Coturnix japonica: one gene and its partners. The protein of the gene in region 2 purifies or fractionates together with the protein of the main gene of each other region. This does not show direct contact. Links are inferred from orthologs where the notes say so. Each region holds a gene or a part of one and is shown on either strand. Other genes may lie near its edges.

Region 1 (3,750 bases), on a different chromosome or scaffold from region 2:
TTGGATACAGTTGTGAGTCCCTGCCATATTGAAGAGCTCATCCTTCAGCTCACCATCAAAAGACTTCGCTAGAAGTGCCACAGCTGGAGCTGCAAGATACTGAGTGTATTCTGTGACCATCAGGTGGATGAGTGAGATCTGAGCCTGCTTGAAAATGTGGCAACAACAGCAGCACACGTGGAACACTTTCAGCTTGAGACGTGCACATCTCGCTGCAATTCTGCGCTGTGTTCCCTGACAGCAGAACATAAGCACATCAGAGCGCAGCTCGGGTATCCAAGGAGCGAACCATACAGGGGAAGGAATCCATCCTTACACACACACACCCACAGCTCGCACCTCCGTCACCAGGAAGTCCATCACCTCTGCTTATAAACTAAGTGATGAATACAGATCTACCAACCTGATGGAAACTCCTTTTGTAACGAATGTTACGCAGCTCTGACACCACCTGCAAAACTAAGGCCCCACGGTAACGCAGACCCAGCAGCACTGCGAGCAAATGGAACAACTCGGCATTCGCTGCCCCCTTCCCCTGCACAAAACACACCGGCTGCTCCCTCAGACCCCACATCCTCTCTGACAGCACACAGCGCTCACCTACGCTACAGCCAGGAAAGCTCAAAGCCGTTTTCACCCAACACACCCCTTGGCATAGCCAGCTTTACGTGCTAATTACCGACAGATTGACTCAGATTAGCGCTGGTTTATCTTAAAGCCAAAGAAAGAAAAAAGAAGCCCACACTTTCCCTACAGATCTGTGACTCCTGATGACATTTCTCCCATACACATCTATGAAATACACTGTTAGAAGCGCAGAATTTGGCCTTCGTTGTGGAATTATATAACCTAACAACGTAACAGACCCCATTACAGACACAGGCGCAGGGTTCACCTCACGTACCCGCCCCGCTGCAGCTCAGCCCGAGGGGTCCCGGCCCGGAACCACCGGTACAACGCTGGAACCGGGTTGTGCCGAACCGGGCCCCCGGCGGAGCTGCAGCCCCTCAGCAGCCCGTGCTGGAGCGGCCCCGCCCGGCCCCTCAGCGAACAGCCCGGGCTGCACTCACTCTGCAGAGCTGGTCCCGTTGACGGCGGATCCATCCGGAGCGGGGTTCAGCTGGATCGGACCCGGCTTCTTTTTGGGCATGTTCCCCCCCGGTCGCGGCCCCGTTTGGGCCAGGTCCGACCGACTTCCCGAGATGAAGCAAAACTTCGGGGCCGCCCCTCAGCGCACAACGAGCGTGAGGCCGCCTCCACCACAAGGAGCCGAGGACACGACGCCGCCGCTCCGGCTCGGTACAGCCGTTAACACAGCCGGTACCGAGCGGAACCGAGCGGAACCACACAGAGCGGAGCGCGCACAGCACGGCGGAAAATAACTGCACGGGATCCAAGTGCGCCCTGCCCCGGAACTGCGCATGCGCACAATCACCGGCCACAAGGAAGCGCAAGCGCGGCCAGCGGGAGCATGCGCAGTGAGGGAGGGGAAGGCGGACCGACGCCGTGCCAGCACCGGGAGCTGAGCTTGGAAACAGTACGACCAAAGTAAGATAAACCATGACTTGTTGTTAAATACATTTGGGATATCAAGCGATTACCGCTCTCAGCACAACGTTATGTGGTGCTGACTGCAAGAGATGCTCATCTATTTAGAAATACGCGTTTTAAACGCGGGTAAAATCACTCGGGCTGAAGGGAAACGCGTGTATCATAGTATCACAGTCCCGTGTGGGTTGGAAGGGACCTCAGAGATCATCGAGTCCAACCCCCGGGATTCGAGCGTCTGTGCTGCAGAGCGGCACTTCTACCACTCGCGCCACAGGGGGGATTCGAACCTCTGACTCCGGTGTTAATTCAACCCGCTCAGTGTTACCGGCGCTACACGCAGCTCCGCCCAACGGACTTGGCGCCAACAGCGGCGGAGCGCAGCAGCTGCGCATGCGCATTAGCCCGGCCGGCCGGGGGAGCCTCCTCAGCTCGGCGGTGTCTGTGCGGTGCTGTGCGGTGTTGTGCTGTGTGGTATTTGTGTGGTATTTGAGCGGTATTTGGTGTCTTCGTCCGGAGCTCCCAGCGCTCTGAAAGCAGGAGAGAAGCTCCTTAAGGCGGTAGGAAGGGGAAAACCGTCAGGGCTGGAGGTGTGAGGGGAGCGGGGCCTCAGGGTGCGGCTCTGGGCGTCGTGGCGGGCTCCTGTCGGGGCGAGCTGTGTGTGAGCCCGGCTGTGGAGAGATACAACAGCCCTCAGCCTGGTGAGCGGGGATGTGAGGAGCTGGGGCCGTCATGAGCCTGAGAGACCTCGGCCCTGGCCTGTGGGTTGAAGGGATAAGCTGTAGGTTGGGGGACCCGCAGCTCAGGAGACTAAAGTTGTTAGTTTGTGTGGATAACAGCTGGCTTGAAAAGCACTTAGTCTGAAATGCTTTTGTTGTGTGCTTGTGTTCTTACAACGACCCACAGCCACCACTCCCAGGTAACCAAGTGTGAGAAGCCCATAATTTACTTGGCTCGGCAATACTGGGTTGTGTCATCCTTCTGCATAGTATCTGCTGCTTAATTTATGTAACGTGCTGTTTGGCAGAGCTTCCTGTGGAAGGGCTGGGTCTCACGTAGCTGATGTTTGTTTCTGTGGCAGGTTTGTTGGTTTTTGCATTCTTTTTAAATGCTTCTGATATTTCATAGGCTCGTTAAGGTTGGAAAAGACTTCCAAGACCCCCCAAATCCCAACTCACCCCCACTGTGTCCCCTGACCACATCTCCACTGTGGAATTTTGGAGTTCCCCATCCCAGTTCTCTCATCTGCTCTTTGTTTCCCACAGGAGGAGGAAGAAAAGTTAATCTGTGGCCATGATAGATCCTCTGGAGAACAACTTGTTTGATCTCCCTGATTATGAGAATACAGAAGATGAAACATTTCCACCCCTCCCACCTCCTGCGTCTCCAGGAAGAGCTGATGTTGAATGGGCTCAAGCTAATGGAGGTGAGAACCCTGTGAACCCTGGAGATTTTTCAGTATAGAATGAAATGCTGAGAGATCAGCTTTGTTGGAGTTCTACTTCAATGTGTTGTGCTTACTCAGTAAAAATAATCCAAGAGTAAAAAAAGCAGTTAAGTTGTTCTTGATCCATACTTGTGCAGTGAGTTTACCTTTGTAGATGCCATGGGAATGTTTGCATGCATGCACACAAGACTGCCAGCATTCCAGGGAGATGGTAGGAGTTTGGTTGTTGGTTTTCTATCTTAAGACAAAGACAGAAAGCAAAAAATAAAGTTCAAGTTACTTTCTATCAATTGTATATGGAATGTTCTGTGTGTGGAACAAGGGAGCAGGAAGTACGTAATTCTTGATGTACGAAAATTAGAGTTCTAACTCCTGGGTGTCTGATGTTTAGACTGGCAAAGTCTTAAACAAGAAATCAGTGTGATAGTAATTACTGCTGGGATGGATTGTGGTGCCGTATCCATTGCAGTCAAATGTATGAGTATTAGCCTGAATCAAAAAGTGAGTGAGCCATTTGTGCTGTATGCTTACAGTGTGTGATTTTCTTGGTTAGATCTGGATGGAAACCAGCAGTCAGAAACAAAGGATTCTTCTGCAGCTGCACGGAAAGCAGTTAAAAGATCGATACCTAAACTAGATGCTCACAGGTATTTTTGGACTTAGTGTTTCTTTCCTTGATAAACTTGGTGCATGGCTGTGATGTGGTAATTAAGGTTACTGTGATTTCAAGTGCACTTGAGTGAATCCTCAGTACA
Region 2 (3,650 bases):
ACAGCAAGGTGTGTAAAACACAGACCCACTTCTCAGCATTTACTACGAATGTAATAAGGTAAATGACTGACCTTTTCCTTCAGCTCTCCCAGGAAAGTAGCGCTTTGCCCAAGAATGAATTCTGCTGACTCCTGGAAACAAGTCACCCACTGGTAATCTAGAGAGTCTGCAATGGTCACCTAAAAAATACAACAATAATAAAAACAAGGAACAAGAAATTCCATCCAGTTGCACTGACTTCTATGAGCAACAGATAAAAGTAGTATTTGTTTCACAGCTCAAGAACCCTGTGCACTTCCCATCACTGAGGGTGGAAGACAATTACTTATTATTTTGCTTTTCAAAAGAGCTCAACAGAATGTCAGAGTTGTTTAAAGCACGTTAATATTGTCAGCATGTTGTGTCACAAGAAGAGGCCAACAAGATCACTGCAATAAGCACCGATAGACATTCAGCTCCTTTTCCTCTATCATTGATGAGCTATGAGTATGAACAGGTAGCCCAGAACAGTAACAACCAAGGGTGACACCAGCAAGATTGAGACCTGCATTTATTTAGAACTCGGGCATAAATACATGTGATGCTACGTTACGAGACAACTATCAAAACGTTCAAGGACAAGACAGAGCAATAAACAGATCAAGTACCAGCCTCATCTGTGAGGCTGCTTTGACAATTAGGAATGCAAAAATAGGAGACAAACTGTTCCGAAGGCCTTGATTGTAACCTCAGTATCCCTTTTATATTCTAGGAGAGTGACTCTGCTACATTAAGTAGTTTGTGTATTCCTAGAAGTTATCTGCTAGAAATTATTCAGAAGCAGTTTGTGTTTTAGTGAGACTGCAGGGATAGTTCTCTCTGCATGCCCACCTGGCACAGCATTTCTAAGAAGCAGATACAACACAAATGTACAGTGTAAAAACAGAAGAAGGTTCAATGCTTATGGGGTAAGCAGGCATCACAATAATAATCCTCACTGCCTTTCGAAGCAAGCTCCATTAAAGCTTGAGACAGAACAATACCTACAAAAGAAAATGTACTAAATATAGGTAGCAGCTGTAAAAGTGCAATTACTGCTCTCCAGAAATGCCATTTTACTTCAGTTTATCTTCACTACTGAAGAGGCGTAGGCCATCTGTACTCTGCACTGCATAGTACACTTGGAAACCAGAATCAACTGAGCTAGCATCAACTTTTTGGCAAAGAGAAAAGCTTTTAATTGGAGAGCTAGGAAAACAAACTGCTTATCAGCTCAATGAAACATTCCTCACCCAGGTACAGACACGAGTCACCTCAATACCCTCTAACCCACAGGCACCTCTGGAGAACACAGCAGCCTAACACCCTGTTCCATCAAAAGACTTCTATCTGCACTGCCCAGGGAGAGCAGGGAGAAGCCCTGCCTGCCCTCATCAGCTCACTTACCAGCAGCATCAAGCGGTACTTGAAGTTGGGGAATTCACGATCGCACTTCTCGCAACGATACAGTCCATTCTGTTGGTCTATCACTTTCTTATTGCAATCCTGAGAGGGACAGGCCTGGTACATGCAGTTCTCTTTCCGCAGATGTACTATTGTGCCCACACAGCTAAAATAATCCGCCTAGGAGAGTGAGTGTGCAACATTAGCCTCAAAATACTCAGTGTTTTCCAATTCTGAATTAACTACAAAGCAAGGCGTCCATACTTGGATATTTAGGATTAGAAAGCTTAACAGCTATGGATTATTGGAAAACTGTAAATCAACCCCTGTCGCAATCATTTCCAGGCTTCCATTATGTTAAATAAAGCCCCTAGAGCAAGATTATTCTGTGTTTCCATTGCAGGGAACTCCGATTGCTAGGTTTTCTTCAGATAAAGCACATTTGTTTCTCCATTGTGTCTGTTCAAATCTCTGCTTTTTTCACAAGATTAAGATTCTGCACTTTCCTATGCTTCTTTTAGGAGTCAGTACAAAAACCAGAAAGCCTACTGTGTAGTATTACAGATAAGTGTTTGATTAAACTATAGCCCACAGAACAAAATACCCACTCACCACACTAAAATCATCACCCTAATGGTTTAAGACCACAGTCAAGTCTTTCAGCAGATGAACAGGGGTTAAGAACCACATGCAAGAAAGGCACTGGTAATTCAGCTGTTTCCTGTGGAAGTTCTTTATCTAGATCAAAGTTTTTCTCTATCCTGAATGGCTTAGTGCTAACATTTTGGAAAAAAACCACAATTATATGCTTTTAAAAACGTATTGGAACAAGTCAAGAAGCATTTCAAGCCTAAGAAGGCTACCAGGCTAGAAAACTGCAGACCTGGGTCTAGATTTTCTATTGAGCAAGGCTGCCTTGAAAACCCTTCCTAGAAACGCACCTGTTTGCCCTACAACACTTTGTGTTATTTATATTAGCATCTTTGGGGTGGTCTATTTGGCACTATTTATCCAAGACTTAGAAATCTCTCGTACACATAGGATCATGTTGCAACATCAGCAAAGGACTTGGATTCAGTGCATTGGTTTGTTTGGTTTTTCTTGTTTACAGAATAAGCACACAGCCCAACAACTGGACTCTCCCAATAAGCAGAACACCAAGGTTTCCTTCCCGCCCCCCTCAAACACACAAGGCTTGCAGTCAGCTGCCATGCCTTACCTTATCTCCTTGTCCCAACCTCTCTGATTTGGCTTCAAACAAGGTTTTCCAGTTGGTAGCTACCCCTGACGCTGACCCACCTCTCACATCAGAGATGGAGGCACATTCCAGAAGCTGTCCCTCAGAGTCAAACCTGGAACCACAAAGATGCATTGCTATTTTTGGATGGCAGTCCACCTTATCATAAGCTTACGTTTAGTTTCATGTACTTAATACACGAAGGATTTTTTTTTTCTTTCCTTAAAAATCAATGATTGCAAAGGAAACAATTACAGTAATTTGTGTATACTGCAAACAAAAATAGCATTTCAGAATAAGTTAATACTCTGACTTAATTAGCATAGTATTTTATAAACCCACAAAAGGAGGGCAGCTTTGTTCTATATAACTGCAATTTGTTTGCCAGCTAGTGGTCAAACCACGCACTGCATGCTTCTTAAAGGCAGTCAGATAACAAGATTTAAGGGCATCAAGATATTTCCATAATTAAAATTAAATTACACGCTACCATTATCATTGCAGCAGCTTCAAAAGGAAAAGCAAATAGCATTGAACAAATTATGCCTCCTGTGTTAAAATAAGAAAGCACTCCTTTTCTGAAAAAGGTTGTACTATCATCCCATTCAGCGTCTTTTGTGATGTGAGAAACACCAACAGAACTCAAAAACGGAATGTAATTAAAATGTGACAGCACTAGCTAAGACCCACAATCAATTTCATCTTCAACAACCCTCTGAAGTATAGAAGCAGCTCTGCTCAATCTGAATAATGGAGAACGCCGACAAATATTTTATGCACGTTTAAAGGATTTGGGCAGAATGTGAGCCCAGGATTCACAATAAGTGATGCAGTAGGGACTTTACCCCATTAGCACACACACCAAATCTCACTGTCTTAGTAGCTACAGCAGATAATTTAGCAACTACCTACGCTAGAAGCAGCAGTGAAGCACTAAGAAGTCACTTGGTTTTCCTGATAAAAATAAAAGTGTCATTTTGTTAATTGAAAA
Region 3 (3,750 bases), about 2.2 Mb from region 2:
GGTTTCAACTTCTTGCTCAAACTCAAAACAAAACTGCTTTGCTTGCCACCAGCCATAGCATGCAAAACAGCAATTCTTTACCACAACTTCTGCATTTTATCAACTCCCTGACAAAAAACTCTTGCACTGAGATTTGGTTTCCCTGCAGGGATTAGAGTACAAGTTCCTGACTGCAGATGAGATGAGGAGATGCAACTCAGTTTATCCTGGATGTATCCTGTGATCTCAGGGTTTCAGTACCAACGGTTCACAATCTGGGACAGGTGGTCGTCAAAGCTTTCAGCTGAGGTATGTCTATCCATATACTGTACTAATATAATCATAATGATAATAAATACCTGTGCTATAAGCCACAGAATCACTGAGGATACATAAGGAGTCACTGCCAACGCAGACAGTGCAGTGCTTTGGAAGGCTGCTCTGCATAGAAACACATCACAAAATCTGTCATCGAGCACTCTGCACCAGTTCTCACAAATAGCCTTTCAACCAGCCCTTTGGGCGCTTATCAGCAGTAACCCTGCACGTATAGTGGGAGAATTAACACTGGCCAGGAAAATTATATCTTATCCAGTGGCTGGTACTTCCTAAGAGCATAACAACTGTTTAATTTGGCAAGAAATCAAAGCATGACTCGTGTGCTGTACTGACAGGCTTTTACAACCAGTAGTGCTCTATGCAGCTGCAACATTATACTGCCTCACCTTGGCTCCTGCTGAACACTGCAGTTAAATCTAAAGGAAAAGAGCAACGTAGTGAGCCTGAACTTTACACAGCGATGGATTCATGCGGTATTTGTGTTACAAACAGTCTGAAAGTGGTAGAAGTGCCGCTCTGCTACACAGGAGGCTCGAATCCCAGGGGTTGGACTCGATGATCTCTAAGGTCCCTTCCAACTCGCACAAGACTGTGATACTGTGTGTGAAAGCTGTGGAAATAAAGACAATAACCCTGTCTCACCGTATCACATAATTACGACTTTATTTCCTTTCCTGCTTTAAGGAAGATGGGGTTAATCCATAGTTATCTCAAGCAGCCGTGTAAAACCTGCTGACCACACAAATCCACCCTCAAACCCGAACAGGCCCCACCTCCGGCCTACACCCCCCGCCCCTTGAGGCGGGCCTACAGCGCGACCGCCCCTCCAGGAGGCGGTGGGAAAACGAGGCCTATCCTGCAGCCGCCGCAATGGAGGAGGAAGTGGAGATCGTGGAGGACGACAAGGCCGGACCTGCGGCTGCTGAGAAGCGGGGACCCACCGACACGCTGGGGTCCGCTCCTACCGCCAGCAGCCATTACGAGATGCCCTGGTGAGAGCCGAGAAGCGAACCGCTCCGTCTGCACACAACGCGGGCCGGCCGCGCTGTGCTGAGGGACATGGATCCGGGGGCGGGAATAAAGGACGAGCTGTGCGGCTATTGGTGGGGAACGCGATTGGGGGGCGGGGCTTAGCGTGGATTGGCCTATGGCGTGAGAGAGGGGGCGGGGCGTGCCGTTGGCGGGAAGGTGGGTATGTAACCTCAGGCTGTGCAGGGTTCCACCATTTCCTTCTATATAACAGCGACAATAAAATAACTTTAAGACCATTAATAAACAACAACAATAAAATAAATAAGACCATTAGAGCTGCTATTGGCAACCCCGCAGTGTTTACATTAAGGACATCTCATGTTATTTTTGTCCCATGTTGTCTTAATGCTCCATATAATCTCCTTTTCCAGCAGTGTAAGGCACTATTAAAGTTTAAACTAAGATGTTTAAACATCTTAGTGTTTGGGTTTTATTTCCACAGGGTGGAAAAATACAGACCCCTGAAACTATGTGAAGTAGTTGGAAATGAAGATACAGTCAGCAGGCTGGAGGTGTGTGGCTGCTTGTTTGTTCATGGGTGAGATAAGAGATGCCATTTTGCATCCACATCCAGAGCAGAAACAGCAATTCTGCATTTCCACATCAGTCTCTGGATATTTGGACAAGAAACTAACTGATTTCCTTCAAAAATTACAAGTTTTGGGACAAATTTGATCAGTATTCGAAATAAATGCGCCTTCTATACTTGGGGTGCTGTGCAAATTGGACCCAGCTTAAATACAACGCAAAAAGGCTGTAATTTGTAGTAATTTTGGGACTTGTTAACTGGAAAAATGCATGAAAGCAGCAAGATTAAGAAAAAAGAAAGGAAAGCAGGAGGGAAAAAATGGCATCTCTTTCTCGAGGTCAAAATGGAATAGAACTGCAAACTTTGTTCCCACCATTTTCTTACCTACTTGTCTTGTTGCTCTTATTCTTTCTTAGGTCTTTGCAAAAGAAGGGAATGTCCCAAATATTATCATTGCGGTGAGTATTGCTGTGGCATTTCGCTGTGTTAATCCCAGTCCAGAGACCCAGGCATGACCAGGATAGATTTGTACTGTGGTACCACTGAAGGAGATGTTATGTTTACAGGGCAGTATATTCAGCTAAAGGCACAGCAAGTAAACAACCTTCTGTTACTGAAATACTGCAAACTAATTTGGCCCTTGGGTGCCTATTGAAGCATATCTAGTGCTTTATTGCTGCTGGAGCAGGATCCTGAGCTCAGGTCACTTGTATTTTACATGAGTGGGGATTGTTGTAGAGAGTGCAGGTTAGGAAATGGCATTGCACTCATGAGCAATTGTATTTCCAGGGTCCACCTGGAACAGGAAAAACCACCAGCATCCTCTGCTTGGCTCGTGCTCTGCTTGGCCCTGCGTTAAAAGATGCTGTTTTGGAGCTGAATGCCTCAAATGACAGGTGAGAAGGAATAAGCCTTATCAAGCTTAATGAAGAAGCAAGTATCCATTGTTATTTTGTGGCTGCTGAATGAAAGCCTTTATGGAATTTCACCCTAACTGATCATTAATGACTTCAATTATTATTCCAGAGGCATCGATGTTGTGAGGAACAAAATCAAAATGTTTGCTCAGCAGAAGGTCACACTTCCAAAAGGTCGGCACAAAATCATCATCCTCGATGAAGCAGACAGGTACATTGCTTTTTTTTCTTGACCCCAGCTGCTTTGTGCAATGTTTTCTATCTATTCTGCTGTCTTGGACAGTATGAGATGACTCTTTTCCTCCTGCATATAAATAGCAGCATTCTTAACAGTACTCTTAATACCACTGGTGATTTGATTTTATATGTTAACTTTATGGATGACTCAATAACTGGCTCTACTATGAAGTGATTGGTTCATGTGCCGGCTAAAATATGAGGCTTGCCAATCAGAAATACCAGGTAATTTACAAAGCACTGTTCAATATCAGTAAACTCTAAAGCTTGTATACAAATAGTCACTAAGCTGCAGCTTTAAGTCAGTGATGGATAAAATCTGTCCTAACTCCTTTTCTTTCTCAGCATGACAGATGGAGCCCAGCAAGCTTTGAGAAGAACAATGGAAATCTATTCCAAAACAACACGCTTCGCACTCGCATGCAATGCCTCTGATAAAATCATAGGTAAAGCTCTGTTAGACCTTGGGTGTTCTGGTCATATGCTCCCCATGCTGCTGGGTAACCTCCAAAGCAGAAACACTTGGAGCCTGCTCATTGCAAGAAGCCATGGTAATTAAGAAGAACCAAACCACCCAAACATCCAGCTAATGAAGAGCACGTTTGCACAGCTGATGAACCTCCTGAACAGCTGTTTTTCATGAAAAGTTCTATGCATGACTGCAGAGCAGATTTCTTCAGGCTTAATCACCATCCAGCTCTGCTACAGCTTACGATT

What was found.
Region 1: the proteins of RPA1 (region 2) and TIPIN purify together in Homo sapiens (affinity purification with western blotting; 4 studies listed by BioGRID and IntAct, with this or other methods). This does not show direct contact. The link is inferred for Coturnix japonica from reciprocal best matches to the Homo sapiens genes RPA1 and TIPIN.
Region 3: the proteins of RPA1 (region 2) and RFC2 purify together in Homo sapiens (affinity purification with mass spectrometry, with the first as the bait; 3 studies listed by BioGRID). This does not show direct contact. The link is inferred for Coturnix japonica from reciprocal best matches to the Homo sapiens genes RPA1 and RFC2.

The regions. Positions count from the first base shown.
Region 1 is NC_029525.1:16,738,634-16,742,383, reverse strand, and holds the start of TIPIN (TIMELESS-interacting protein), read left to right. Parts: upstream 1-1,432; 5' UTR 1,433-1,548; intron 1,549-1,992; exon of another isoform or gene 1,993-2,145; intron 2,146-2,575; exon of another isoform or gene 2,576-2,629; intron 2,630-2,813; 5' UTR 2,814-2,841; coding exon 2,842-2,974; intron 2,975-3,548; coding exon 3,549-3,642; intron 3,643-3,750. Other genes in the region: MAP2K1 (dual specificity mitogen-activated protein kinase kinase 1), read right to left, coding at 1,071-1,150.
Region 2 is NC_029534.1:4,228,564-4,232,213, reverse strand, and holds part of RPA1 (replication protein A 70 kDa DNA-binding subunit), read right to left. Parts: intron 2,775-3,650; coding exon 2,642-2,774; intron 1,603-2,641; coding exon 1,426-1,602; intron 180-1,425; coding exon 72-179; intron 1-71. UniProt on the Homo sapiens protein: As part of the heterotrimeric replication protein A complex (RPA/RP-A), binds and stabilizes single-stranded DNA intermediates that form during DNA replication or upon DNA stress.
Region 3 is NC_029534.1:2,018,118-2,021,867, forward strand, and holds the start of RFC2 (replication factor C subunit 2), read left to right. Parts: upstream 1-1,112; 5' UTR 1,113-1,188; coding exon 1,189-1,310; intron 1,311-1,792; coding exon 1,793-1,862; intron 1,863-2,295; coding exon 2,296-2,337; intron 2,338-2,668; coding exon 2,669-2,775; intron 2,776-2,905; coding exon 2,906-3,007; intron 3,008-3,378; coding exon 3,379-3,479; intron 3,480-3,750.